Linked DNA regions of Caenorhabditis elegans. The protein of the gene in region 1 purifies or fractionates together with the protein of each later gene. This does not show direct contact. Each region holds a gene or a part of one and is shown on either strand. Other genes may lie near its edges.

Evidence for each region.
Region 2: the proteins of xpo-2 (region 1) and imb-1 fractionate together in Caenorhabditis elegans (co-fractionation; one large-scale study listed by BioGRID). This does not show direct contact.

What each region holds. Positions count from the first base shown.
Region 1 is NC_003279.8:313,704-328,748, forward strand, and holds xpo-2 (Exportin-2), read right to left. Parts: upstream 9,650-15,045; coding exon 9,440-9,649; intron 9,391-9,439; coding exon 9,082-9,390; intron 8,686-9,081; coding exon 7,372-8,685; intron 6,715-7,371; coding exon 6,035-6,714; intron 5,426-6,034; coding exon 5,122-5,425; 3' UTR 4,846-5,121; downstream 1-4,845. Other genes in the region: imb-3 (Importin N-terminal domain-containing protein), read right to left, coding at 1-139, 185-399, 451-1,071, 1,120-1,275; nol-14 (Nucleolar protein 14), read left to right, coding at 10,157-10,231, 10,276-10,537, 10,586-10,950, 11,596-12,345, 13,256-13,542, 14,144-14,276.
Region 2 is NC_003279.8:4,914,964-4,930,679, forward strand, and holds imb-1 (Importin N-terminal domain-containing protein), read right to left. Parts: upstream 11,271-15,716; 5' UTR 11,233-11,270; coding exon 11,175-11,232; intron 11,123-11,174; coding exon 10,927-11,122; intron 10,880-10,926; coding exon 10,744-10,879; intron 10,696-10,743; coding exon 10,432-10,695; intron 10,190-10,431; coding exon 9,929-10,189; intron 9,697-9,928; coding exon 9,178-9,696; intron 9,127-9,177; coding exon 8,869-9,126; intron 8,821-8,868; coding exon 8,571-8,820; intron 8,519-8,570; coding exon 8,328-8,518; intron 8,270-8,327; coding exon 8,120-8,269; intron 8,074-8,119; coding exon 7,978-8,073; intron 7,350-7,977; coding exon 7,167-7,349; intron 7,122-7,166; coding exon 7,035-7,121; intron 6,482-7,034; coding exon 6,440-6,481; 3' UTR 5,796-6,439; downstream 1-5,795. Other genes in the region: F21F3.7 (Transmembrane protein 230), read left to right, coding at 3,433-3,480, 3,798-3,988, 4,774-4,895, 5,257-5,402; mfsd-13.1 (Major Facilitator Superfamily Domain containing homolog), read left to right, coding at 11,770-11,826, 11,871-12,002, 12,055-12,372, 12,420-12,967, 13,278-13,470, 13,518-13,676; acl-11 (Phospholipid/glycerol acyltransferase domain-containing protein), read left to right, coding at 14,136-14,747, 15,465-15,583, 15,638-15,716.

The DNA.
Region 1 (15,045 bases):
GCGAAGAGCCGCGTGCTTCATCTTCCAGTCTTCGCTGGTCAAAAGCTTCTCGACAAGTGGAAGGAACACTGGGAGCATCACTTTTCCGTTGATGCAGCAAGCAACACGGTCGATGGCGCTTTCGGCGATGATTGGGATACTGAAAAATAATTTAATTGAAGAAAAACTAAAAATTTATCCTTACTCTTCATAGTCTTCTTCCTCTTCGATCTCGTTGAGCCACTCATTGAGCACATCGTCATCCATTTCGGTCATGCATGAAAGAAGAGTCTCGAGAATTGGTCCAAGAGCTCCTGGTGCGTATTTCTTGAGTCCTTTTGGTGCGGATTCCATGTACGAGCAAATAACTTCGATGGCGTTCTGACGGACCATCTCGTTCTTTTCCTTGTTTCCAGCAATCTGAAATTTGAAAAAATGAAATTTTTAAATTGGGCCATTTAAATTACTTACAGCAAGAGTGACTTGAAGAACCTGAGACATATGAGTGTTAAGGCATTTTGGCAGAGAAGAGGCGAGCTCGGCGAACTCTCCGAGTGGTCCATCTGAATCATCCTCGTCGCTGGTTTCATTGCAAACTTGAAGAACATTTGGAACAAGAGAGGTCATAAGCCTGACAACATCCTTCTCCTCATCATTATCAACAGCGAAAGCGATAACAGCACGGACGGCGGTGGCCTTGATTTGCAAATCCGGTGTAGCCATGCACTTTTCCAAGACAACTTTGAGGGTTGGAAGGAAGTGGGCCAGCCTGTTTCCAAAAATTATTGGGCATCCGCGAAGAATAAGCAGGGCTATGTAGTTTCCGGTAAGATCCTCGCTCTTCAAACAATGATCCATCAGCTCGAGGACTCCTCCCCATGTCATATCTCCAGAATCGTCGATGAGGTTTGAAGCGATTTCAGAGATCAAATCAGCAATCTTCTTCTTAATCGAGAGTTCGGTCTCGTGAACTATCATCTCGAGAACTTTGGCGAGAATGCGCTGTTTGTTCTCCTCGTTCAGCGTTTCCCAAATCGCATCCCAGTCTCTGGCGAGAACTCGTCGCAGAAACACCAAAACTGTGGATCTGGCCTGAAAATCGAAAATTCATGGAATATATAGGAATTTGAGTGAACTAACATCAGAATTATTCGTGTGGTGTGTGTAGGCCTCGAAAAGTGCAGCTACTTTGGTTGGTCCTTCAATCTTTTCATAGACTTCTTCAGCTTGTTTTCGGATATCATTGTCTGCTGACTGCAGTTTTGTGATGAGCTCAGTGAATTGATTGACGTCCATTGTAGGGAACCCTGAAAATCAGAATATGTGCTAAAAATTTCAAAATTGAGAAGGAAAAAGATGAAAGCGAGTCGGTTTTGCAGATAAACGCCTGGGGAATACGCGGAATCGCTGAGGAAAATAGATTTTTAGTATAAAAATTGGCATTTTCAACAAAAAACCTATCGGAAAATGTGAAAAATAGGCCAACAAATATTGAATTTTGGGACAAAAACGCCTCGAGTGCACGATTCTCAACGGAGCGCACTTGCTGCGTCACACGCACTTTAAACTGTACACGGCGGGAAGTTCAAATTTTAAAAGGATTCACGTGATTTTCACGACATTTACTGGTTTTTTCAGCGAGTTTTCGCAACTTTTCGGCGACAACCGATGATGATTTATGTTTGGAATATGATGATGGTAGCGTGTTGCGAAATAAAAAATCGATGGAATGAGTCAGCGAGAAACTAATATTTGCATAGAGAACTGTTTGCAATTTTGGCATTACATTGGCCAGTGCACTGACAAAAAAAGAAAAAAATAAACGGCAAAATCTCTAATACCTATTCCAGGCAACCAGTGTCTGGCGACGATGGAGAGTAATTCTGAAAGAGACGCAGTTGAAAAGAGTGTGTTTTTCGCTTTTTTTTTCAGACAGAAGAGTAAAAAGAGTAAATACGTATCAGTAGTAAAAACAATGTGCGAGCTGGGAAATCAGTAATAATTAACTACTTGTGATACAAATTCCTCAAGGAATGAAGGAGAAAGTGTACTTTTTTTGAGACCCGAAGAACTCGGGGGATGTCCAATTGGGGGGATTACCAACTCGGGGGATTGGCCCCGCCCACAGAACCGTGGCTTGCAATACGCCCATTTCTGCAACTGCCGCACGGTTTTAAAACTGTATTTTTCTCAATAGAGCGAGAATTAACAAGAAAAAATAATTTTAAAACCGTGCGGCAGTTGCAGAAATGGGCGTATTGCAAGCCACGGTTCTGTGGGCGGGGCCAAACTCCCGAGTTGGTAATCCCCCCAATTGGACATCCCCCGAGTTCTTCGGGTCTCCTTTTTTTTAATTTTGAATTGAAAAATTGTCCGAAAAGTGCAAACGTAGAACATCAAAACCAGTGGAGGGGCGAAATTTGATAGATCGCAGGTTGCAAGAATGAGCATTCTACGAGTTTCGCGCCATTTCTGCGTAGCGCGCACAATATTGTGCAATAAATCTCGGTATTTGCGTACATGCATCATATCTTACGCGCAAATCATATTGGAAATTTCCCCGAAACACGGGGAGGCAAAGCTAACGTGGCTGAAGAAATTTCTACAGTAGTCCCATTTGGCTGACTGAATATTCAACGCGAATAAGTTTTGTACACTATTGCGTACTTTGCGTACGCGCATTTTATTTGACGACAATTCGTCAATATCAGCTCTGGCTAAAAGCGCTTTTCTCATTATTTAAGCGAATAAAAGTCGAAAAAAAATGTTTTGTGATAGAGAATAGTAATTTAAAAAATAAAAAAGTGCATATTTTATGTTTCTCATTATGTTTCCACTGATTTTCTGAGAAAAACCGAAAATTTCCTCTTTTTTCGATGAATTTCAGCTGAATAGTTTGTTTTTATCTAGTTTTTCTTCCGATTGACTGAATAACACATTTAATAACATCAATATAACGTTTAAAACATTCATTGTCTCGAAAACCAATATAAAACTCGTCAGAGAGGGATACTTAGTAGATATGCTGAACAAGGAAAAGAGAGAGAAGAACATTAACCGAATGGGGAGGGGGGAATAAGAAATCTGAACAGGAACGAAATATAAAGAACATTATTAGAAAGAACAAGCATGGCTTGATCTTCTTGGCAGTCGTCTCCTTATCCTATCACTTCTTCTCGGCGTCCTTCTGATCATGCTACCGAGCAACGTGGCACGATCGAAGAGTTTCACAACGGTTTGATACTTTCGCTCCACGAGGGGGCTCCCAATTCAGCGAGGGTCCTCTCACGAAGTTTAATTTTTTAAAATTAAAAAATAAGTAACACCTCAAGAATTCCATCGAAGTTGTGCTCCTTTGCAATAAGACGAAATTTTTTTTTACGGAATTGAACAGGATCATTGAGGTACGGCATGAAAACGGCTTCCTCGTTGAACGATGTTGAAGCTCCTTCACCATTGCACCTGAAAATCAACTTCTAAATTTTCCAATTTAAAGAAAATCCACATACTTATCCTCGGAAACGAATCCAATATTCTGGTTGCTGAGTGGAATTGCTTCAAAGATTTTGATCAGATTTTTTTTTGAAATTTTCGATCACACATCTTGTATCCACCAAATCGCCGAGTGCTTCATGAACTTCAGACTCGTGCTTTCCAACCTCTTCCATGAGCTTCACTTCTTCTGCTTGGAACTTTTGATTGCCTTCGGACCGATCTGACTTGTAGTTTCTTCTTAAATAGTGGCTGATTGAGCAGTCGACCTTGCAGTCCTACCTTCTTTGGCTTCTTCTGCGGCACTTGAGCCCTTGTAAGAGCACTTATTGCTGCTTAACCTTCCTTATTAATACTTCGAACAGCTTCTTCTTGTTCGCATCTATTTCGAATTTTGTCTTGAAATCTTCCAATGCAGCGACAACGTAATATCTGGAAATTATAAAAACATTAAGAGAAAATATTTTGAAAAAAAATCGAAAATTGCACTGAATTCCTAAATTTTTTATTAAAATCGAAAAAAAAAAATGAAATACGTGAGATTGAGTTTCGAGACTTTTTTATTCAGAATCAGCATATATTTCTCCATATTTGAGTAGGTTTTCAGAAATATTGTACCATAATTTTTGGAAAAATGTAATTTTTAATTCGAAATTGCACTGAATTTCTCGAATTTTTCACTAAAATCGAGAAAATAAATATGAAATACGCGAGATTGAGGTTCAAGACTTTTTAATTCGGAATCAGCATATATTTTTCCATATTTGAGTAGATTTTCAGAAATATTGTACCATAATTTTTCGAGATATTTTGAATAATAACTTACTTTTCGACGTTTTTTGCCTTTGTCCGGTTTAATCCATCGAATTTCGAAGCGGTTTGCGTAGATTAGCTGAAAACATTATGCTTATTCCACGTAGTAACAAGAAAAAACAAGAAAAAATAAGAAAAAACGAAGAAAAATAAGCATATAAGTCAAATTAAAAATGTTTATTCGATCAAAATTCTTAACCATAGGAGGCGGTGGCTAGCCGGCGCACTCTCGCGGCCACGTTAGCTTTGCCTCCCCGTGGAAAGGAGCCATGATATTACGGAAACACTATTTGAATTCTGAGAACGCGAAATATCTCGTAGCGAAAACTACAGTAACCCTTTAAATGACTACTGTAGCGCTGGTGTCGATTTACGGGTTCGATTTTTAAAATTATTTTTTTTGTTTTTTGTGTGCGTCATCGATTACTAAATTATAAATTATTTCCGTAAATCGACATACAATCGCTACAGTATTCATTTAAAGAATTACTGTAGTTTTCGCTACGAGATATTTTGCGCGTCACTCCTTCAGGCACCACATCTTACACTCAAAATCGAGGTGAATTTCTGTGTATTTGACAGCAAAAATGTCGTGAAAAACAATTAAATAAGGCAATTTGAAGAGGAAAAAACTGGGGCAGATGTGAGATAAGAAGAAGAAGAAGCGGGGCTTCGACAACCGTAAACTAATCAGAGATGGAAAGTGAGAAATTTGAAATTTAAGACAAAAAAGTTAACAACGGGGGATTTTTTTTAGAGAGAAAGAGCGAGTAATCGGGCAGCAGCAGAGAAAAAAAAAGATAATAAACAATTGAAAAAATATAAATATCGGGGAAATTATTGCTGAATAGACTGCAAATAGGTGACAATCTCGGGCGGTACAGAACGAAGTGTCTCTGGACAATTTCCGGGTCCACGGACAAGAACGGCCTGCGCAAAGTAGGCCTTGTGGTTGGCGATGTTGGCGGCGACGGGCGGTTGCTTGGGAGCGTAACTCAGACGACAGAATGGGTTCACAAATTCTCCCTCGGCGTTGTACATTGAAGCTTGCTCTTCTTCTGGTGATAGGACGGCTCGATCGGAGGCTGAAGCAGCTTCCAGCAGCATTGCCACCTCGTATGACAGAATTCCGTATTGACCACTGCAAAAAAAATTTATATGAGAAATTGAATTTAAAATGATTTTATTTGTAATTTTGTTTTTGTTAATTGTCGTTAATTGTTTTTTTTTTGAGAAAAAACCGAAAAAAAAATTAAAATCTTCATTTTTGATTTAATTTTTTTGTTGAAAAATCGGCAGTTTTCGATTTTGTTTTTTTGAAAAAATAGGGAAAAGTCGGTAATTGTCGATTTTTCAAAAAACTGAAAATTCCAGATTTTGTCAGGAAAAAAAACGAAGAAATCGACAAAATTTCAATTTTATTTTTTTAAATTTGTGTTTTTCAAATTTTTTTTTGATATGTGATTTTTAACTTTTCTCTGGAAAAAAACCGAAAATTTGCAATTTTTCAATTTTTTCCAAAAAAATCTTTAAAAAATAGAAAATTTTCGTTTTTTTTTCTGAAATATTTAAAAATTGTAACTTTCTATTTTTTTTAAACCCGTATTAAAGTTTAAAAAAAAAATCGGAGAAAAAAAAACTGAATCGAAAATATGTGATTTTCAATTTCCTTTGAAAAAAATATAAAAAATCGAAAATTTTCGTTTTTCGATATTTTTTCTGGAAAAAAGCCTAAATTTTCATTACTAACACAAGCTGCTGCGTGACATCGGCTAGCAAATTGCCCATTCCAATGGCAATAATCCGTTTCTCAGGCCCCGTTGTCGTTTGTTTCAGACCTGGCAAATCAATGCATACGACCTTCTCGATGAGCATTCCGAACATGCCAGTCTGAATATTCTCACACGATTGAACAAGATCCTGTGCACTCCGGGCGATCGTAAATCGACACAAGAACACGATGAATAGCTTCATAAACTTGGGTGTCTTCGACGATTGAACTCTTCGAAACATTGTATTGAGCACAAATGTCATCGCGGAACCCTCGAAGTGCTCAATCGACGGAAGAATCGTCGCCGCCAACTGGAAACCGTATTGATCCAAGGTTTTCGAGCCCAAAAGCCGCGCCAAATGGCTCAAGATCAACCCAGAATTCTCCGAGACGACTCGCTGAGCATTCACGGAAAGGATCACTTCGAGAACCGAAAGTGCCGCTGGAACATTCGCTGATCTCGCCCAAAGACGTTCGGATAGCAGAAACGGAAGGAACGGTGAGAATTGATCGATCGATGAGTTTCTAGCGATACATGAGGAGACGAGAACTCCCGTGATTTGGAGAGCATATGGGATGAGATCTTCCAAATCCTCGCGGAAGATCACTTCGATCAGTGGAAGGAGTTGAGCATCCAGTGAGGCGCCGATTGTTCGGGTCTGGAACAGGAAATTCGTTAAAAAATATAAAATGTTCTTAAAATTGCTATCACTTTTTTTTTGAATAAGAAAAAAAATCACAAAAAGGAAAACACGAAAAAGCAGACAAATGTTTCGATTTTGCAATTTTTAATTTTTTTTTTTCAGAAAAAAATTATCGATTTCTTCTTTAAAAAAAGAAGATTCTTTTCGATTTTTTCGGAAAAAAACATCGAAAAATTGAAAAACAAAAAGTTTTGATTTTTTTTTCAGTGAAAATCGTTCAATTTTTCGGGGTTTGTTTCGACAAAAATAATTAAAAACTAAAATTTTTCAGTTTTTAGGTTTCTTATCAGAAAAATTGAATTTTTTCGATTTTCCGAAAAATTAAAAAAAGGTATATTTTTTGAAAACACGAAAACGGAAAAGTGTTGGTTTTTTGTAAATTTTTGCGTTTTCCAGCAAAATTGCCAATTTTTCCGAAAATTTTCAGATCGAAAGTTAAATTATCGATGTCTATTCCAATTTCCGAGTTTCAGCGAATTTTTTTTTGCAGAAAAATTTCAGAAAATTTGACAAGTTATGTTCCAATTTATGAAAAAAAATTTGAGACCAAAGTGCGGCACGGAAAAATGGGCGGAGTTTAGAGTGGTATTTTTCTCTCAAACTACTCCTTACCTTGGTGATCAACACACAAATCGTCTCAAACAAAAAGTGCGTGTGCACCGAATCCGCCGGATTTTTCGTCGCCGACTCGACCAACTGTGCGAGCTTGACCGCAATCGCGTCCGCATGCCGAATCGTGTCGTCATCGAGAATCACAATGATCCTCAAAATCGCCTTGATCAGATACGGCGAGTTTTGCGCTTTGGCATCCTTGTCGAACGCGGTGACAAGGTTCTGAAGGATCGAGGAGACTGGAAGATTTTGAGCCGAGAAGATTTTGTTGGAATCAGCGAGAAGGATCTTTTCAATAGCGTAAGCTGCGTACTTGTGCAGAATCGGAGTATTCGAGCTGAGAAGAGCGTCCGCCGACTTGATCGCAGTCATAAGGTGCTCTGGAGCCAGCTGTTTCCTGAAAGTGACCGCAAACTTCAGTGCATCAGCTTTAAGGATCGGAGTTTGATTGACATCGGCGTTGAGATGTGTGGCCACTTGTGTGATGAAGAAGTCGTTGATGTCCACCAGCGGGTTCGTCGCCGTTACTCCACTCTTAGCAGTCTCCGTCTTCACCGCGATCGCCGTGATCAGCGAGTAGACAATGTCGATCTTGATCCAATCACCACTTCCCAGCAGGTTCTGCACGATCTCCCCCAGACATGGAAGCATTTGCGCCTCGAATCTTCGGCAGAGACCTCGCGCAAGATCGATGGCTCCACGGCGTCGAGTTCCTACATCGGTACCCTCGATGTCTCGCTTCATATAATCCAGTGGCTCATCCTCGAACAGTTCCATATCCTGTTGACGAAGCAGAAGGTTCTGAACGCACACGTTCTCGGCGAGAGTCTTCAGAACGCCTTCACCAGTGAAGTGTCCCTCGTAGTACTGTCGCTGGCTGACCATCGACAGAAATTCCAGCGCGGCGCACACCATCGTATCGTATCGAGTGTCGGGGCCGGTAGACTTGAGCAGATTCCAGACGGCAAGGATGATGTCGGGCACGAACTCGGAGATCTCCTCCTCGTAGCGTTGCGAGTAGAGCGTGAAGATCTCACAGATCTCGTGCTTAAGCTCGTCCAGAGTTGTAGGTTCTCCCGAGTTGGAGGTCTGCGTCGGCGCGTCGATTTGCACGAGATGCAAGAAGTGTGGCATCCAGTCCTTGAGATGATCCTCGAAGTATTCCGGAATCTCCTGTGAGCACAGAGAATGGTAGACTTTTGCAATGAGAAGTAAGACTCGGAGCCATTGGGCGATCTCGTCGGCTCCGAGTTGATCCTTCCGCTGTCCCACCTCCATCATGTTCCGTAGCAACAGAGTTAGAGGCTCTTGGGTCTGAAAAATCGGTTCTTTTTATTTGTAACTGAAAAATCTGGGGAGAAAACAGTTTTTCGGTCCAAATTCGAGACTGACATTCAGATTTCTTCAATTTTTTGGCTCAAAAATTTTGAAAATTTGTCCATTTTTATAGGAAAATTATCAATTTTCGCCAAAAATTCCTCATTTTTGCTTTAGTTAAAATTTTTGACTAAAAAATCATAAAATGTTGAATTTTTCACGATTTTTCGGAAAACAAGGCCAGCTTTAGCTAGCTTAAATGTCTAATTTTGGTCATTTTTTAGGGTCAAAGCGGACAAAAATTCAACTTCCGACGGCTGCGACGTAAAAAAGTGGCCAAAATTGGGGATTTTAGCTGAAATTAGCCAAATTTTGAGCCAAAACGCAACTCACGCTCAGTAGACACTTCTTCAGCTCTTTCCAAAGCTCTGCTGACTTGGATTCGAATCGGAATTTGCGGAAAATCTGCTCCATCGACGCCAGCGAGGCCACCAGGTGATTGAGATCCGCTCCGTTCAGGAATTTCGACAAATATGGAACCAAATCTGGCCATTTTTCGGGAAAATCTCTCTGAGCGATGAGATACAGAGCATTGGACAGGATTTCCTGAACATTTGATTTTGTATTGAACATCGCTTCGAGAAGCATGCTTCTGAACTGCTCCTCGTCTTCCTGGCCCATTTCTACCTCTGGTGCCGGGCCCTGAAACAATTTAAATATAAAATTCACGCATTTATTCAAATTTTCCAACCCAATTTCTCTTCACAAAATTTTTCAAAGCGACAGCCGCGGCGATTCGGATCTGCGGAGCAATTTGTTGCTGTTCGTTGACCACCAGTTGAAGAATTTGAATGATATAGCCTGGATTTGATTGCAGCGAGCGGAGCGCTTCTTCTCCACGCTTGCGAATCGCAGCATCCGGCTCCAGAGTCTGCTGGAGAGCTGCTCCGATTTGCTCCATCTGAAAATAGGGAAAAATAGCTGTTTTGGGGGTGAAATAGGGAAGAATTAGGTGAAAGGACAAAGATAGTTTAGCTTAAAACTTGAAATCTAAAATTTCCGGTCAAAATATTAAAGTTTTACGCAATTTTTCGCAGGCCCGCGGGGAATAAACTCGCAAAAATTCGCAAAAATAAAAAAAAAATTTCAAAAGTGTGAAGTGTTTGCGTACAGCGCACCCGACCCGACGCGCAAATTTTTTTCATTATGTTCTCTGTTTTCACTGATTTTTACTGATTTTTCCTAGTTTTCCCTTGATTTTCTTCAAATTTTCCACTTTTTCAGCAAAACGTGCATAAAAAAATAAATTAAAACATTTCAATTTTCAAAACTTTGCAAAATAAAGGCGTCGTTGCGTACAATGCGCACGACTTGACGCGCAAACTTCCCAATTTTTATTCTTAAATTTTCCTGGATACCCCTGGTTTTTTCTCTGTTTCCCCCCTAATTTTTCGCATTTTCAGCAAACATGGGTGTTGATAAAAAGCAAAAGCAACGAAAAACCAATCCATTCGAGCTAAAATTCAACAAATCCAAGCATGACGTGAGTTTTTCAGAGTTTTGAAGAAAAAATCGATTTTCTCGCAGATTCTCGGCCGGAAAAAGGGCGCACAAGTTGGAGCACCGACTGCGTCACGAAAACGAGCTCACGAGCAACGTGAACAGACGCTAGGCGTAGAATATGACCGGAAAAATAAGATTAGCAAAATTGTCGACAAACGGCTCGGCGAAAAGGACGGAAAAAGCGAGGAGGAGAAGGGCGCGATGAGATTCACAGAGGAAAGAGTCAAAAATTATAAAAGAGCATCGAAATTCAACTTGACAGATGATGGAGATGAGGAGGAAGAAGGTTTATTCCGAAATAAATTGAGAAAAATTTTAATAAAGTAAATTTCAGTACTTACTCACAAGGGAAAAGCGCTCTCGGACATTGAAAAATACGACAAATCGATGATTTCCGACTCGGATGACGATGAAGAGCCGGGAAATTTGGGCTCAAATATGGTAAAAGTGGCTCATTTCGGTGGTGGAGAGAAGACCGCCGAGGAGCACGTCCGCGAAAAAATCAGCCGAGAGGATATGATTTCGAATTTGATTGCGAAAACGAAGCTGGCGCGTCACGAGAAGCAACAGCAGAAGGATGAGCTCGAGCTGATGACAGAGTCGTTGGATTCCAAGTATCAGGCTTTGATGGGCAAAATGAAGGCTTCATTTAGGCCGACCGGGCGCCAGCCGCTGGAAAAAGATGATTACGACAAATTGGTACGGGAAACATCCCGGTTTTCTCCAAATTTTTAAGATAAAAGATAATTATAAATTTAGAGTGAAAATCGATTTTTTTCACAATTTTTTAGTGGAAAACCTAAAACCCAAAAAACTTGATCTGAAAATGCTAATTTTTAACCATTTTTGCTATGGAAATTGGAAATTTTCATTAATTTTGCTGTAAAAGTTGAAGAAATCCAAGTTTTAGCTTTGTAATCAGAGAAAACACTGTAAAATTATTTCGGAATTTGTGCAATTTGAAGTGAAAAATAAAACATTTAACTTCTTATCGCGAAAGAAATTGAGCTGAACTGAGAATTTTTTTGACGAAAAATCATTAAAAAGTCAATTTTTTTGACAAAAATTCGAGAAAAGTCGGTTTTTCTTTTGACAAAAATGACGAAAAAGGCAATTTTTAATTTAAAAAAATAAATTTTTCGCCGAAAAATAACTTTAAAAAAGTCGTTTTTTTACAAAATAAAACAATTTAAAATAACTATTTTTCGACAAAAAAATTAAGAAAAAGCCAATTTTTTTGTTTAAAAAATGATAGAAAAAGGCTTTTTTTTTGTTTCTTCGCCTAAAAAATCAAGAAAAATAGGTTTTATTCCATTTTTTATCCAAAAATTATTATTTTTCCAGACAATCACCTTGAAAACCGAAGCCGACGCTCGTGCCACCCCAGCAGATCGTAAGCTATCCGAAGAAGAAGAAGCTCTGAAAGAAAAAGAACGTCTGGAAACTCTCGAGGCCGCCCGTATCTCGAAAAATAATGCATTTTTCAACGCAAAATCTCATTTATCAGCCGATGCCGACGTTGATATCGATGCTGGATCGAAGGCCGACGCCAGAAAAGTTCAGGCGAAAAATTCGAGATTTGAGGTCAAATTTGACGATGAAGGTGGCCTGATCGATGAGGATACGGTGGAAAAATCCAGGATTTTAAAGAAAAATCTGGATGGTTCTGATGAATCTGACGATGACGAGGATCTAGAAGATGAGGAAGAGGATCTGGATGATCTACTGGAAGATGAGGATGAGCTGGAAGAAGATTCCGATGATGAGGAAGCTCAGGAAGCCCAAAAAGTCGTCAAAAAAGCGAAAAAATCTGCTCCAGAACCCGCTGAAACTCTGCCATTCGTATTCGAAATGCCGAAAAACTATAAAAAATTCTGTGCTCTTCTGGAAAAACACTCGGAATCGATGGATTTAGTGCTGGAACGACTCGTGAAATGTCATCATCCGAGCCTTAAAGAAGGAAATAAGAAGCGTCTGAATAAGCTTTTCCTCTTGTGTTTAAGATGGTTTGATGATATGTCGAAGGAGGAATTGACAGCGGAAAGTGTGAAGGAAATGAATTTAGCGCAGGAAACTATGCATGCGTTGATGAAGGTAGCGATTGGATGGAAAAGCTGAAAAATTACCGCACTTTTTAATCTGAAAATTGAAAAAATTCGAGAATTTTTGACCTAAAATTTTGAAAAATTCCCGATTTTTATACCCCAAAAATTGCAAAAAAGTCCCGATTTTTTACCAAAAAATGTTTTAAAATCCCCGAATTTTTTACCTAAAAATTGCAAAAAAGTTTCGATATTTAGACCCAAAAATTGCAAAAAAGTCCCGATATTTTTACCAAAAAATGTTTTATAATCCCCGAATTTTTGACCTAAAAATTGCAAAAAAGTCTCGATTTTTAGACCCAAAAATTGCAAAAAAGTCCCGAATTTTTTACCAAAAAATGTTTTAAAATCCCCGAATTTTTGACCTAAAAATTGCAAAAAAGCCGGTTTTTTTACAAAAAAATGTTTTAAAATCCCCGAATTTTTGACCGAAAAATTGCAAAAAAGTCTCGATTTTTAGACCCAAAAATTGCAAAAAAGTCCCGAATTTTTTACCAAAAAATGTTTTAAAATCCCCGAATTTTTTGACCTAAAAATTGCAATAAATTCCAAAAACTTTGGCCAAAAAATTAAAAAAAATACCCGAATGTTTGACCCAAAAATTGCAAAAAAGCCCCGATTTTTTGAGAAAAATCATGTGAAATTAAAACCTTTTTTTTTTGAAAATCAGTCTCGAAAAAAAAAAGAAAAACCAGGAAAATCATGAAAATTTAAGAAAAAAATCATTAAAAATAGGAAACGATCATGGAAATATTTTTAAAGAAACATTATATAAAAAATCATTAAAATTTCAGAAAAAAAATATGGAAAATCCTGAAAATAAAGAAAATAATATTAAAAATTCAGATTAAAAAACGCAAAAAATTCAACAATTGAAAAAAATTTCAAATTGTTTTTTGCAGTTCGACATTCAATACGGAGTCCGATGTGTGCGTGCTCTAATCCGTCAACACTGGAAAGGCCGCCAGGATAAACAGAAGAGTAGCCCAGTGTCATTTGGATTAATCTCTGCAATTCGTCTTGTTTCCGGCCTCTTCCCAGTTGCCGATTCCTGGCATCCTGTAGTGGTTCCGGCTCTTTTTTTGGCAACTGAAGCACTTTGCTCGGCGAAATGTGCCAATTTGAATGCGTTGGCTAAACAAATTCAATTGGCTAATGCTATTGTTGAATATGTGTCTGAATCCAAGAGGTAATACTTGGAAACGAACATTTAAATAGGCAAATTTTGAAAAAAATACTGAAAGCTTTGATATAAAATAGGAAAAGTAACGAAAAAAAAAGCCAAAACCACCAAAAATATTATTTTCAAAAGCTAACTCAAAAAATTTAAAATTCAGAATTGTCGCTTAAAAAAATCTATTTTTTTCGATATCGAAAAAAGATTACTATAAAAATTCAAAAAAGCAATTTTTTAAAATATAACTTGATTTTTTTTTCTGAAGTTCATTTTTTAACAAATAATTGCATTAATTTTCCATTTTAATGTTAAAAAAAAGCGAATTTTTCAAAAATTGATATAAATTTTGTTTTGGCAATTTTTAGATCAGAAAACATTGAAAAAATACAAAAATCCCGTTTTTTTTTAAATTAATTTTTTAGAAAAAATTGCAATTTTTCAAAAATCTTCCGGTCATTTCTCTATTTTTAAAAAATCTCTCGTCTCTTTTAAAAAAATTTAAAAAACCGAATTATCGAAGCGTATCAAAATTTTGAAATTAAAAAAAAAACCGAACTCCATTTTTACGAAAAATCCGAAAGTTGAAAATTGTTTTCAATAAAATAAATTTCAGATACGTCCCCGAGCTGGTCGCATTTGCTCGAAGTGCTCTTCTGCTTGCAGTTACAGAGAAAAGTGAGAAATTCGCGACAAATGGATTCCCGATTTCCAAGCCACACACGGAAATGTTATGCTTTGAGGAGAAGGTAAATTTATAAAATTTGTTTTTTTGAGCAAAAAATTGGTTTTTTTTTTTGGTTTTCTCTTTAAAAAAATTTGCTTAAAAACGCTCAATATTTAAAAAAAAAACTGGCAAAATCGAATTTTATAATATAAATTAAAAATTTTGTTCAAATAAAAATGATTTTTTTTTGAAAATTTAGTTTTGAAAAATTTAAAATTAAATTTTAAATTTTCACAAAATTGCCAATGATAAAATGTTCACTTTTTCTTGTATAAAACTGCTTGAAATTTTTTAAAAGCAATTTTCCGAAAAATAATTTTTTAATAGATTTCTGAAAAACCGAAAAACCACCGATTGAAAAACGAAAATCAAGTTTTTTTCCGAATTTTCTATTTTTAACAAATTAAATATCAATTTTGCACATACAAAACGGTTAAAAAAAAACAAAAAAAATTGCCGAGAGCCAAAAAAATTTAAGTTTCAGCGATTTTGAAATTTTTTTTTTAGGAAACACGGTCTCCTCGGGTGGAAACGAAGGGGGAGGGAGATTGCTTGCGCGTTTCACCGATGCGCCTTTCGCGTGCTGGCGCACTTCTGAATATTGAATTATTTTTGCGGAAAAAATTCATTTCTTCTATGAAATTTTCTTGAGAAAGCAAAGGAAAGATGATGAAATGAATTTTTAAAATAGTTTTCTCAGTTAAAAAGAGAATACCTTGCTGCAAAAGGTTAAATTTATTGAAAAATTGAGAAAATAAGAAGTTTATCTTTGTTTTCACTACATAAAGTGG
Region 2 (15,716 bases), 4.6 Mb from region 1:
GACACGTCACATCTCTTTCTCTTGAAAAGAGGCTTGTCGCAAACAAGACACTTACGTGCTCTCAGGAGCAGCAGGGCAGATGAAAGAAAAGAGCATTGTTTGGTTTGCATGGGTCCTCGTGTGTCTCTCGTTTCCATTCGTGGAGCTTATGAGAATATGCGATGTGGACCCTTCCTTCCGTCTCATTAATTGCACAGAAGCAATTATGAATTTGTGAGCTCGCGCGCTCACGAGTCAAATGAAAAAGTAAGAAATTCGAGAATTTGAAAAAATAAGAGTGGAAAGAGTGAAGAATATGGCTTTGGCTGTTCTCGCTTCAGCGATCAGAAGAAACGCCCACGATTTCAGAAAATTATAGCTCTTTCAGTCACAAGATAATCGCGCACGGGGCTTCTTATGTGATACAAAAAAAAAACAAAAATCGATCAGAATAAATACGATGAAAGTATGATGTTTGCTCCTAAAACAAATTGATAAAAAATTAAGCAAAAATATTTGTGATCGACACAAACACACACACACACACACCAACGACCTCAAAACTTTTGAAAATGACTGGCGCTAAATTCAAAACGGAACAGAAGTTGTATAGTAGTGAGTGTGAAGAGAACCGAAAAACGAACAATTTTTGGTTGCAAAAGTGTTGCGAGACGGTAGACACCGACAAAAGCAAGGAAATTGTACAAAATTTTGATTGAAAACAAAAAAAGTTGTTGCTAGGGGAAGAAAGAGGCTTGAACTTAACCCCAATTGAAATGTGGAAAATGGAGGCGGGGAGTTGGAAGATGTGCTCCGGAGAGCCCTGTCATTTATCAAACTGGATACGTTTCTTTTGGTTGTCGACTTCTTCCGCCTCCCACATACATGGCATTTCGACAAAAGATGGCGAGAAAGTAGGAATATAAAAGACAAAAAAAACTACGCGACTCGACCCAATTTGCATTTTGATTAGTTTTTTGTTTGGTAGGAGGAAGAAGAAAATGATGAGAAACTGAAGCCAAAAAGGTTTCGAGTACTTTTTGATTAGCGCGTGGGAAGTTAGAAGAAGACTGAGCAGCAAAAATAGACAAACCATCGGGAAAAGATGGAGAAATATTGTTTGTGGAACGAAGAAAAAGCCGGACGCGGACGCGCACAATACCATCGGCTCAGCAAACAGACTAGGGAGCAGCGCCCCAAAAAATCAGGGAGAACTGAGATCTTACTGCCAACGACGAGAAGAAACATCTGTTTCGAGAAGAAAAACAGTAAGACGACAAGTGGTCACATCACATGTTCTCTTTAAAAAAAACTGTGAAATTGAAATTCTTCATGAAAGGGGTTATTGAGGACAAAGAACAAATAGTCATAATTGATAAGGAATCTTTTATCAACCGAAAAATGTAGGCGGAGAGAATGATAAAAGACAAAAAAAAGGAGAAATTTAAAATTTGAGGAATATCACGAGAACTCGCAGATATCTATCTAAACATCTAATCTACGACTTGTTTTCTTCAGAAACTCTGATGACGCCTATCCTCGTTTGATTGGCTGTGTCTCTTTTTTTGTTGAAAAGACTAACACAAAAAACAAGTGAGCGTGTATGTGCCCAAAACGAGAGTGACACTCACAAATGGGCCGAGTCAGAAGCATGATGATGATTGCCATAGAGCCACAGGCGTAGCGCATAGAATCAGAATCACAATGAAAGTATTATTCGAAAAAAAATAGAAGCAGAAACAAGAATTCTAGTTGAAAAAGAAATTGCGAAACCACAAAACTGAATGACGTGGCTCTATGAGAGCCTGGAACAGAGAGCAAACTGGAAAATAAATAGAACAGAGGTATAGGGGAGAAAAAAAAATTAAAAGAGACCCAGTTTAATTGTATTCAACACGAGTGCTCTTTCACTGTCGGCGGCTTTTCCGTTTGCTTAGTACTGTAGTCTTTCTCTGTTGACTTCTGCTGCTGCCAATCGTGCTGTGGAACAACTAAAATGGTTTTTCAACCCTTTTCTCGTTTTGTGTTGTGTTTTAAGCGGCTATGTTAAATTGGTATTTTAGCGTAAAGCTTCTTTTTTTTTCGAAAAATTGAATATCAACATTTCTCAAGCTATATGTTCTGTTAATGAGTGCGAAAACTCTCAAAAGGTGTGAAATCGGTATGTTTACTCGAATATCACAAGATTCTCACGTAGGAGTTTTTGTTTTATTTATTCTGAAGATCAAGATTAACTTTCTAAACTTCGAAAATGTCACGTTAGAGCCAGGGGTACGCGAAAATCGCCAATTGCCGGTTTTTTGAATTTTCGGCGAAATCGGAAATTTTGGCAATTTTAGAAAAGAAAGGATTCGGCAATCGGAAAAAATGGCAAAAAACATTTCAAAGGTTTAAAAGATAAAAGAGAGAACATCATCAATGTTCGCAGTTACTTGCTTGATAATCGTTTTTAATGCAAAAATAATGGATTGATGTATTTACTGTCTTCTTAGGAATTCCTCATTGATAAGATAACGACGCGTTCTAGTCTCTGACTCACTTTGACGATAACTGAATCAAACTACGAGAAAAGAAATAAATGGCAGGTGTTTTTTTCAACAAACCCAGAGACATCAAAACAAACATTGCGCGTTTTGTGCGTGCGAGTCGGGTGATAAATCAGAAAGGAGAGAAAAATTCGGAGAAGAAAATGCAGAAAAGTTGAGAGAAAACGGTGGAAAATAGTTGTAATTTCGGAATATCCGCGGATAAAAACAAATCCGGAAATTCGAGGACGAAGACGTTCGGATGCGTCGCGGTCACGCGTTGCGGCTCTCTCTTCTCTCTCACCACCACCAATGTTTGCCAAAAGAGTTGAAGAGGCGGAAATGGGTGCGCGATTAGTCACTTCGCGACCCCGATTCGCGTGTCACGCTTTCATTATATTTCTCCAAACTGGAAACTAAAACTTATTTCCTAAATTTGTTGCCATTTCAAATTGAAACTTTCGATTAAAAATGTAGCTAAATACTGTAGACTTTAAAGGCACATACACATTTCTGTCAGCCGGGTCCCGAAGCAGAAGCTTGAAAACTGTAATTTTTAAGTGTTTTTTTTTATTTTTGTTTCCGTGAAAAAACACCAAAGTTCTTGTTAAATTTTATTCAAATTTTGCATGAACATGAATCACGAATTAAAAAAATACATTTCTCAAGCGATAAAAGAATCTCGATTTGCCCTCTCTCTTCCCTCTCAGTTTCGTTCCAAAAAATGTTATCTCAATTCAAATCGCCGCCTTTCTTCATCATTTCCTCACACACAAAACATGTTTGGGGCAAAAATGCAATTGGAATCGATTCTCGTCGTTGCATATCTTCAGAATTTTTTTGTTTTCTCTCTCTCGCCCCTCCTCTCCCACGTGGTTTTTTTGCAAATGAAACTGTGTTTCTTACTTCAAAATAAATATTTCCAGATATGCCTAGCATGCCAGGACATCAGCGTAATGTGTCACAGGGACAACATGTAAGTTATTTGTATTCAAAAAATAATACAGACAAAAGAAAAATGACTCTTTTGTAGCCAAACCGACACCAAAAACAATCCATTTTTTATTTTTTTTTCTTATTCTTTTTCAAGAAAGATTTCTGTGTTCTAATCCATCGCTGTTTTCTTTTTTTCTTTTTTCAACATGCTGAAACTCATTTATAATTCATAATAACGAAAAACCGCTGGCTTTCGACAGAAAACCACTAGAAAATTCATACGGAAACCACGAAAACGTGAGAAAATAAATGATCATAGAAGTAATTCTGTCACTATTCTTACATTTTTTGTTTCAGCTGATAGTCGATCGAAACGAATCGGACGACGAAGACGCTGAAAAGCTGGCTGGAAGAGCGGTCACGGCTGAAAATCGAGCACACGAGGCAATTTCAATGGAACACGACGATGCACCATATGGAAATGGAGGAGTTTATCCTGGAAGTAGTCCTCCGTTCACTCCGAGTAGGCCTCAAGAGAATAAATCAACGTAAGCTTTTTTTAAAATTTGTTCTTTTTAAAATAAAATAAAATTTGAAGAGAATTCAAAAAAACTTTGTTTTAAAAATATTATGCAAGAACAATATTCTTCTGACGCAAAAAATATCTCGAAGCGAAAACTACAGTAATTATTTGAATGGCTACTATAGCGCTTTTGTAGATTTACGGGGTCGATTTTTAATTTTTTCTGTTTGTTGAAACTAATCTAAAAATTACAAAATAATACGGAAGAAAAATGGAATATCGCTGTCACAATTCAAAAAAAAATCATTCAAAAAATCGAGCCTGTCAATCGACACAAGCGCCACGGTAGTCATTTTAATAGTTACTGTAGTTTTCGCTACGAGATATTATGTGCGTCAAATATGTTGCTCAATACGCATTCTCAGGATTTTATCTTCACGTAATAACTTCGAAAGTACAACATTTGCTGAATTCAAATAAGTTTTTTCCAAAAAAAATCTTGGAACTAAAAAGTTTGCTCGATCAGAAATTTTTTGGCCAATATTCAAAAAATCTAAAATTGAAAAAACTTCTTTTTTTTAAATGAGAGTAAGACTAAAAATCAAAGTAGTCGCCACCCAAAAACATGTGTTTGGAAAAAAGAAAAGCGGCGGGTCTCGCCACGATTGGCGCCAAATCTCACACCTGTGTGCCCTAAAGGGCAGCACTGAACAAACACGTGATTATTGAAACGAAAACATTAGAGACTATGAAATAAAAGATAGAATAAAAAATAAATTGTAAAAGCTCAAAAACCGTTTAATATTTCAGAGGTTTATGCAGTCCACAGCTTAAATCAAATATCAAAGTGATAATTGGATCAATTATATTAACAGCTGTTGGAGCAGTTCTTCTTGTGATAGGATGTTGGGTTGCTATGAATCCAGATGAAGGTGAGTCTTTTTTTTTTGGCAAATAAAAAATGGAAAGTATTACTCGGATGCGAAATTTTGCGATATTTGCTCCAAAAATCGAGTATCCTATCTCGACACGACAAATTTTTGGTGTTTGCACCTTTAAAGAGTACTTTAATTTTCAAATTTTTTCCGATGAATTATTACTAATTTTTCAAACAGTTTTCCAATAAATTGTAAAAAAATGTAGAAAAATCGAGTAGAAAATTACTGTCGCATTTGACAAAAAAATGTTTCGTGTCCAGACCAGGTACCGTATTCTTTAACTCATAAATCATGAAATTTTGCTTCTTTGATAGCTCTACAGTAACCCATTCATCCAAATCCTCACCATTTTCAGCTCATTCCGGAATGCAACACTGGGTATTCTTCTTCGCCGGCCTCGTTTGCTTTATTCCGGGCTTCTACCACGTGTACTACGTGACGTGTACATTATGCGGCCGGCCTGGTTACTCATTCGACAAATTGCCCACTTTCAATCGATAGCCCCATCCATTTATTCTGAATCCACGTTTTGTAATCTAGTCAAACACACACAAAAAATCAGAATTGAGGTGGTCTCCTCATTTCAAAACCCCCGAAAACATGGTCATTCGAGAGATTTCTTAGCCTTCAATTCTCATCTAATCTTCACTTTTCTTCATTATTGTCGATGATTTCCAAGATTCCTCCACCGGTTTCTTTTTCCTCTAATCAAAATTGATTCAAATCCCCTGCATTTTTTTCCGAGCTTTTCAAATTGCCACCACCTTCCCTCTATGTACATAGTTTCTACTACTACCTTACTACCCCATCATTTATCATTTACTTCTATGTATTTATTTTTTCCTACTTGTCATTAATTTTTTTTTCGTTAAAAAAAAAATATATTCCAAAATATTCCAAGAGAATCATTTAGTGCAATTGATGTGTCTTGAGATTGAAATAGGCGGGATGACAACTGGTAACTGACAGCCCTTCGGATAGAAAACATAGATTTACAAAAAAAAACTAATAGTGTTAGCCGGTAAAACTTTGAGAAAAAAAATAGTGATGAATAAATAGGGGAAACAAAATGATAACGTATAGGGCCGTCAGATACCGTGTTAGAAGTTTCAAATTTGGGCAAAAACGATAATCGATAAAGACCGACAAAAAACAACCAGAAAATGATGAAGATAATTGCTGCTAAAAATCAGAATCATAATAGAAAAATTTGAATAATGAGGGGTCACACACACAAAAATATAAAGCAAACAATCTAGGAAACGAAAATAAAAGTGGGGGAAATTACATTCTAATTCGTCAGAGATAAAAAAATAAAATAAAAATACCGGGGAGGAGATGAAGCTGGAAACTTGGAAGATGGAAAAAACGGAGCAATGAATGAGAAAAGGAAACGGGAGAGACAAAGAGAGAGAAACAGAGAGCATATGACCTGTAAGAAGAGATGTGGGGAAATGAAAGAGAAATGTGGGGGGTGGAGGAAGAAAATAAGAAAAATTGGAAAAAAAAGTGAACTGAGATTGAAAGTTTTGTGTTGCTTAACGATTAAAATTGAACGTAGCTGCTCCGTTGTTCGTATGCTGCAACTAGTTTATTCGTTAGAAATGTTGATGAAAAAGGAAAAAAGTAAGTATTTATAGCTTAGAGAATATTTGTTTTGGAATTTTGCTTTAAATGAAAGAAAATTGACAGTAATGACCGAATATAACCGTTTAAAAAAAATTTTTGGATTTTTTCTAATTTCTTAAAATAATGTTTAAAAAAATTTTTGCAAAAAAATAAAAGGAACGACTGAATTAAATTTGAATTAGCAACTTTTGTTAGTTTTTTTTTTCGGAGATTTTGTCTTTAAAACTTGATGACCCACAAAAATTGCAGAATCTTCAAAACTAGCATACAACTTATAACTTTTTTGTGAAAAAATGTCTCAAAATTGGCAACAGGTGTTTAAAATCAAAAATTCGAAAAAACCCGATAAATTTAACCAGGAAAAAACATTTAGTAGTTTTTTTTGTTGCAATATTTTAAGAAATTCATGTAGATTTTTTTTTAATTTTTGTTGTTATATTTGGTCATTATGGTTTATTTTCTTGTTTTCTAAAAAAAAAATGAATTTCGATTTTTCAATGTTACCTTTTTAATTTCTTTGGTCGCCCAATTGGCCATCGATTTCGTCTTTGACACCTTTGACTTTCTACCCTTTTGCAGCATTTGTGTCACCTGGAAAATAATTTTCAGATTTGAATAATAATAATAAAAACGAACATTATCAGTTAGGAAGAATCGAATAATATCACCCTCATACAACTGAACAAGATCACCAATGATACCAGCTGTAGTAGCGATAAGTGCTTCTGATGGTGGAACTGGTTCCATTGATGAAATCCGTGTAATCAGTTGAACTATCGGCTCGACGAATACATTGATCATGTTTCGGGCAGCGGTCGTCTGAAATCATTAAAATTAAAATTTCCGGTTTGTCAAAAAATTATAAGCAAAAACAACTGTGTATTTTTTTTTAATTTGTTTAGTTTTTTTCATAGAATTTTCTCGCTTTTTATTATTAAAAAAATGTATAGAATAAGTTTAATATTGCAATTTTTTAACTAAAAAAAATTAAAATTTTAAAAAAATCGAAAAACGGAAATTTTTGAATTTTTCGTTTTCCGATATTTCAACAAAAAAAATCTTGAAATTCGGGTTATTTTTCCTCATTATGGGAAGAAATTTTTTTCAAACTTTTTTAATCAACATAAACAAAATTTGATCAAAATTGAATTTCATGGTTAATTTTTTGAACATTTTTCGATTTTCCGGTTTTTTCGGAAATTGTGTATTTTCAAAATTTTGGTGGTTTTTTCAGTTATTTTTTTCATGACAATTTTGGGAGAATTTATAGAATAAGTTTGATTTGAAATTTGACTTTTCAAATTTTACGAAAAAAAAACGCGAGAAAATTCTATGAGAAAAATTGAAAGAATATTAAATTTTCCAATTTTAAAAATTGAACATTTTCAAAAATACACTGTTTTTGCATATAACATTTTTCAAATGCGTCGTTTGCCTAATCACATACGTCAGGAATTGCCTTCAATCCTTGAATAATTCCAGTATATGAATTGAGGCAAGCTTCTCTTAATCTATCCACATAATCAACTTGATCATCATCGTTCTGGAAAAATTAATTATAAATTCGAATAATGTTTTTCATTTTTTACCGGATCAGTGACAACTGCAGCATTTTGAGCATTGTTGAGAATCGGTACAACACTGCCGACATATCGTTCGAAATGTGCTTCGATAGCCATTGCAATGTCAGCAAATGTTCCAATAATCACAACTTTCACGTTTCTATCTAACCGTGGTGACTGAAAAATCAAATTATAATTTTATGCGAGCTGAGTTTTCTCATTTCTCGAATCTTACCTGAAGACACAGAATCAACTTTTGAATCAATTCATCCATGAATGGCATGATTTCGGCTTCAAGAGCACGACTGAGGTCGGTGACAAGTCCAACGGCGGCGGCACATACTTGTGTCTCATCTGTATTCGAAAGTCCTTCTAGCAAATATGGTTTCAGCACGTTCATGTAACTGAGGAATCCTTTTCCTAGATCTGAAAGAATTCCAGTTCAAATATGCTTCAGAAAATCGGAAAAAAATCTTACGTTCTGCCAAGCAAGCAACAGCCAACAAAGCTTCTTCCATGACCGCATTACTTCTTGTCGCTGCAGCTCTGTTCATAATTTGATAAAGTCCGTTCATAATGTGCTCTCCAACGGCTGGAATGTCGGCTGGCTGCATTTTGCGAGTGACGGATTGTAATGTGGCACACAGCATTGCTTGAAGATCCCGAACTTGAGCCTTGTCAGCTTCACTGGTCGCCTGAGACTCCATTTGCAGCAGGCTTTCCAATTTCTGAAATTAAAATCATTTTTTCTCGCTCGTGATTAACACTTTTGTTGCCTTCAATATGACTACAGTTGTATTTCGAACAGCTGAGTAACAGTCCTTCGGTGAATGCTTGATCAGTTCCATCAGAGCCTCGTATGCAGTGATTCGAAGATTCGATTGATTTCCATCTACTCTGTCGGTAATCTTGATAAGCTCTCCAACCATTGGATCGAATACTGAGGAAAGAGCAAATGTGTCCGGTTGTCCACTTCCATCTGTTCCATTTGCGACGGCTGACTCATAGCAAGCTTTGACAAGGGAAACGAGGGCCTGAAATTATTAAAAAATAACAATATTAGGGAAATTAATAAAAAACGATACCCAGCAAACATTGTTAGCAACTCTTGGTTCTTGATGAAGACCATTGGAAAGAACCGGAAGAACAGATTGAAGAAGTTCCGCGTTGTTTGCAAGCTCCGAGCACGTATCAATAACTCTTCCAAGAGACCATGCAGCAGTATCACGTACATTGACATTCTTATCACACATGGCTGCAACAATAGCTGGAAGAGCTTCCTGTGCCATCGGAAGAAGCTTCTTTGGATCAGGACCATCAAGAATAGATCCGAATGCCATGATAGCTGCTTCCTTGTATTTCCAATCAGGATTTTGGAAGTGTTTGAAGAATGGAATCACGTGATTGACAATATCATCCCGTACACATTGAGCAGCAAGCATCAAGCATACACCGGCAGCTTTTGCTGGTGTCCAGTCATCATCATCGTCTCCATCGTCGTGGTGAGCCATTGCTTCAAGAAGAACCGGGCACACATGTGAAGCAGCTTGTTCCATGAATCGTAGCGATGCACATTTTGGATTTGGAGCTCCTCTTTCAACTTCCTGGAATTTTGGAGAATTAGAGTCAACCACAACCAATTATTTTCGGCAATTCTACGGAATTGCTTTCAACATTTCTTATTAAAAATTAATGTCAGAATATAGGAAATCTCTTGAATTATCTGAAAATCAACAGAAAAAAAGTAATTTTTAGATAATTCAAGTGATTTTCTATTTATTGACACTAATTTTAAATAAAAATGGCAGCATTCCGATCAAAACGCGTATTTCTTACATCCTCATAGGTCATGTACAAGTCAAATTCTTCCTCAGCGACAGTTGACCAGAATTCCATTCCTTGCATTGCCACTTCAGGCTCCTGGGATTTCATTGCAGAGAGAGTGATTTGGAAGAGTGCACTGCCCATATATGAAAGCATATGTTCATAGTACAGCTGCATGATCCGAACAAGACACTGGAGAGCAGCTACTTTTACTCGTTGATCACTGCTGCTCGTCGATTCACAAACAACTTGCATGATGATGTTTCTCTCGGCCTGAATTTGAAATAATCATTGAAGAGAAAGTATAGTTTGTGGGCAATTTGCTGAAATAGACTAACTGGCCTAAAACGATCAAATTTCATAATGATAACTCTCAAAAAATTTACCAAAAAAAATTTATGTTCTTTTGAAGATTTTTTAATCGCCATAACAAATTGCCGAAACATTTTTGAGAAGTATCTTTGCGAAATTCGTTCATTTGAACACACTTTGAGGTTAAACACTTTTTTTCTCACCTCATTGCTAAAGTTCGTGTTTGTGAACTCTAGCGAATTCAATAAAGCATTGGTGGCCGCGAATCGAACGTTGGCGGATGATTCCTCGGGACGCATTCCGTGAATAATTGCTGTTAGGACGTCATTGGCTTTTGTCTCCAAAACTCGTGGATCAATGTCTTGACAAATGTATCCAAGAGTTTCAAGTGAAGATTCTTTCAGCATTTCTCCGCTTTGTGACTCTGTCACGTTGCTCTTTAGCAGGTTGATCACATTGGGCCATAGCTAAAAAATATGATTTTTTTTATAAAGTCCTGTACAATATATACTTACATTTTGTGGAAGCTCTGCACATGCGATTGCTGCAACGCATTGAGCTGCAATTGATGGTCTTGATGGTTCAGTTCCCAATGTTCCGGTCACATTCTGCTTTACCTGTTCTCTGACTTCAGCCGTCAATTGTAGCCATCTGAAAATCAATTTTTATAAACTTTTTCTATTAAAAAAATGTTTTACCTTTGCAGATACACATTTTTGGTTTCAGTTTCTTTGGCACATAGAACGTTTTTCAACTGCAAACCGGCGGCTTGACGAACAAATGACTGACATTGCTGTGTGCGAAGTATCATACTGAGACACTGAACGAAAACGGGAAAATCTTGTTGACATGCCGCCGCAATATAGTCCATCGCCTGTTTCTGATCATTTTGATCTGAAAATATATTTTTATAATATTTGAAATCTACTTATTTAATTAAACTTACTTTGTGAGACGGTTTTCTCCAAAACCGTCAGCATCTGTTCTGCCGCTTGTTCTGCCATTGTCTTCAGAAACTTCGGAAGCCGAGTAAGCGTAGTTACTGAAAAATATGTATTTGAGGATGATTAAGTGAGGAAATACACTCTCGAGAGAAATACTAATCAATTTAAAATTTTGAAAATAGTTTTTCGGGCTTTTTTGATAATTTTACCGATGATAAAGAGTGAAATTGATAAAGTTTCGTAAAAAAGTTTAGCGGGAACCTATTAAAATTTTTTTAAATAAGAAAATTTACGTTTTTGATGGAAATTTTAGAAATTTCAACAGATTTAGAAGTGCAAAAATTCGAAAAAGTAAATTGCGCCGAAAATTTCATGAAGAGACGCAGAGAAAACGACTGTTATAGGAGCATTGTCGCGCCGAGACACTCATTTTCAAATTCGTTGTATTTCTCTTCCATAACAGATTTTCAATGGAGCGTACATGCATTATTTCATTTTTCTTCATTTTTTTTGCTGTATTTTGCTGTTTTTTCATGGAAATCTGTTCAAATTCCTGTAAAATTAATAGTTTGAAGAAAGAAATATACGAATTTAATAATGAGAAGTTCCCTATTATCAATCGGACTCTCACAGTTCGGATTAAGTGTTCTGCAGGTGAGAGTTTCGTATCCTAAATTCTCAAAAAGCTCAATTTTCAGACGCTCTTCATGTTTTATTATGTTAAAGTATACATTAATCAGTTTCACGTCAACACAAAATGGTTCAACATTGCGCAAACTTTGTTTATGGTCTGGAATGCAATAAATGATCCACTTTTTGGATATTTGCAGGTATTTGTTATATTTGTAAGCTAGAAATGATTATTTAATATTTTGTTTTCAGGAAATTCGTGGATCATGGCTCACAAATCGCTTATTAGTGATCAAAACTTTATCTCCTTTCCTTGTTGGCTCATTTGTGTTCATGTGGATCCCATGGAATACAGAAGGTTCAGATTTGGAAGGATTGCACCTTGTTCTCTCATTATTCCTTTACGATGCATTCTTCAGTGCAATCAGTGTTGCATGGGGAGCTCTATTCGCTGACACCACACAAAATCAGTCATTGATCCGAGTAAAAGCACTGAAATATTCTCAAATCGCAATTCTTTTATCGGTATTTTCGATTGCTGTCACGGAAAAGCTGAGCAACAGTTTAAAGGTATTATTATTTAAAATTTAGATTTAAGAAATGTTCGCTAATTTCAGAATTTTCCGATTTTCCAAGGAATCTGCTTTTTCGTCGCAATACTTTCTTTCATTTGTCTTTGGTGGGGAGGTCACTTTGGAAAAATCACAAACAATCGTCAAGAGGATAAGGAACAAGGAGATCGAGAAGTTTTAATTGAAAAAGAACAAGAAAAAGAAAAGGAACATCAACTAACATTCCACGAAAATGTTCAAAATTCTATTCATCTTACCAAGCAAATTCTCTCACAACGACAGTTTCTCGCCATAGTGATCACCAATTTTTTCCATACAGCAAGAAGTATTGCTCATATGAATTTTGCATCAATTATTACAGAAATCCTAATTCCTCAGGATATTCTACCGAGTGGATCGATTCGATTGAGTTTATTCTTTATGCTACTCACACTTGGACCACAAATTATTCTAATTGTTAATGAAAAGCTAATTGCAAATGCTGGCGCGATTCGGGTGATTTCTGTTAGTTATATTGTCTCGTTTTTATCCGGATTTATGATCGTTGCATCCGGAAATCCATATAGCATTATGCTCTTCATGCTTATCGATTGGTAGGTTTTAATCTGAAAATTGAAATAGTACCTTTGAAATTGGTCGTTAAAAATTAGCATTTTTACTACTTTAGAGGACTGTGAACTCGTTTTAAATGTGAATTTTTGCTTGCCCAAAGTTTGCAAAAATCCTCATTTGAAGAAATTTTCTAAAGTAGTAAAAAAATGCAATGAAAGCAGATTCAAATCGACTTTTTTCTAATTCAAAGTGCTCCCCTGCCGCTAAATGTCTTTCTATTTTTTTACAAAGAAAGCTGAAATACTTTCCTTCTAAAACTATTAAATTATTCAACAAAAAAAGTCCTTTCAGCGTCACAGTGCACACAATAGCACCACTCTTCAACATAATAATTTCCGATTTCGTGGATGATGACGCTCGGAAGAATAGCCGTTCTTCAGGAATCCCATCTATTGTATTCAGTTTAAACGCACTTTTCGTGAAACCGGCACAATCTGTAGCTCCTGTTATCATTGTTCATTTGCTTAATCAGTCGGGTTATCAGGTAAAAACAATTTTTTTTGATAAACCAAATTATTATATTTTTTTCAGGACTATTTGAAGTCAAAAGTTCTGTCTGAAGATCTAAAAAACACGATCCTCCTCATTCTCTTCATGACTCCAGTTATCATTGGAGGAATTCAGTACGCCGTCATGAAGTCGATGTTCAGTTTTAGAAAGCAAAATATTCGAACTACTCATGTTATTTAAAAGCTTTAAATTGTATTTATATTTCGCTTTTCTCCGGGTAATTTAATTTATTTAATATTACAATATTTCCTAATGCATTAGTTATTCAATTTAATTGAAATTTGTTTCAAACCGGTGATTTCTCCCCATTGTGATAAACCAAACAAACTTGTTTATTCTCCTCTTTCCCGCCATTTTTTGTACATAAAATATCAATTGCTTTCTGCTTTATACCTTGTCACGTGGCTGTCCAAATGTCCGCCGATTTTTATACTTTCACAATTTGTTGGTTTTTTGCTGGGTTTTTTTTTTCAAAATTTGTATTAGAATTCACATGAAAACGGTTAAAAATTTTGGCAAAAATATTTTCTATTAAAAAATTTGTAATCCAAAAATATATTCGAAAAGTCCAGTACTTGCAGAGGAACCTTGTTTTATGTTCGTTTTAATTTAAAAATAAAATAATGAACAAATTTTCAGATGTTAATATCTCTAACAATAGCAGTGGATGCACTTCGACCAATTATCCCATGTTCCCTACTTTCATTATCAATGGTTCCATTTGCCTCGTGTGCAATTGTGATCGGTGGAGTTTCGTGGATTGTGCCCCGACACGTGGCACAACAACTTGACAATATGCTCTATAAATCATATATGAGACTGTGTCTTTTTGTATTTGAAAACTTATCAGGAGTTGAGATCTACTTACACGGAACTAATGAAGAAGTGGTGAATAAAACTGGAAAACCAGAGAATGCAGTTATGATTTCAAATCATCAATCAAATGTCGATTGGATTATTCCTGTAATGCTTGCCGCTAGACATGGAGATCAAGGAAATGAGCAGGCTTTTCGTGTGATGGTTAAAAATTCGATTCATTTGGTTCCAATGTTCGGATGGTACATTTTTCAACATGGTTATATCTATGTTCGACGTTTTGGAGAATTTATTGGAGCACCGGTTCTACGACAGTTGAAGTGGCTTAATGAATCTGATCCGCCCTATTGGCTTCTGATTTTTCCTGAAGGAACACGAAATTCTGCGAAAAAGAAACATCTGCTGGAGAGCAGCAATCGATTTTTGGAGAAAAGTGTAAGGAATTTGAATTTTAAAATCTAAAAAAAATTGATGTATCATTAAAATCACGAAAAAGCGAAAATCCAAATTTTGTTGAAAATCTTGAATATTATGAACATACCTGTACTCAAGTTACATTTTTGAGTGACATTTTTAGAAAAATATTTTACAAAAATCTAAATTTATAAATTTTTGAAAGGATAACAAATTATTTATTTTTCTCCTTATTTTTCTCCGTTAAAAGCAAAAATTGAATTTCCGCAAAAAAAAAACAATGAAACATTGTCTTGATTGCAATTTTGGTGAAAGTTTTTTGAAATGTATGAGTTTGCACAGGTTAAAAAAATTTTGTGCTTTTTTGGGTACTTTTTTTCAAAAAAAAAAACCAGAAATACATTTTTGCCAAAAACTACGAAAAATGAAAAATCTTCTGCAGTTGCTTCAAAAAATCATTTTTTCGGAAATATCCCAAAAATGCAGAAATTGGGTGTAATTGAATTATTTTTGAATATCTTCGAAATTGGAAATTTAAACTAAATTTAGCACTTTTTAAAAATAAATTTTCACAGCTTTCTAGTTTCCAGGTTTACCTAAATTGCAAAAACAACCTTACTAATAAAATATGTATAATTTGAAACATCTAACAATCAAAACATGACATTCCCCATAATGTCCTTCAATCAAATTTCGGTCCCCTTCCCCCTCAATCCGCTTTTTCAATGACGCATTCAGGGCCGTCAACCAATGCAAAATGTGTTGTGTCCGCGCAGTGGAGGATTACAATTGGCACTCGACAATTTGTCGACACTTGACGCTATCTATGATGTTACTGTAATGTATGGACAAATGAGGTTTGATTTGGGATTGAATTTAACAATTCATTATAATCTAATTATTATCTACAGAATGGCGGAACGTCGTGGATTGGCGCCTGGAATGTTTGATTTTTGTTGTGGATCACAACAATTCAAACAACTTCATATT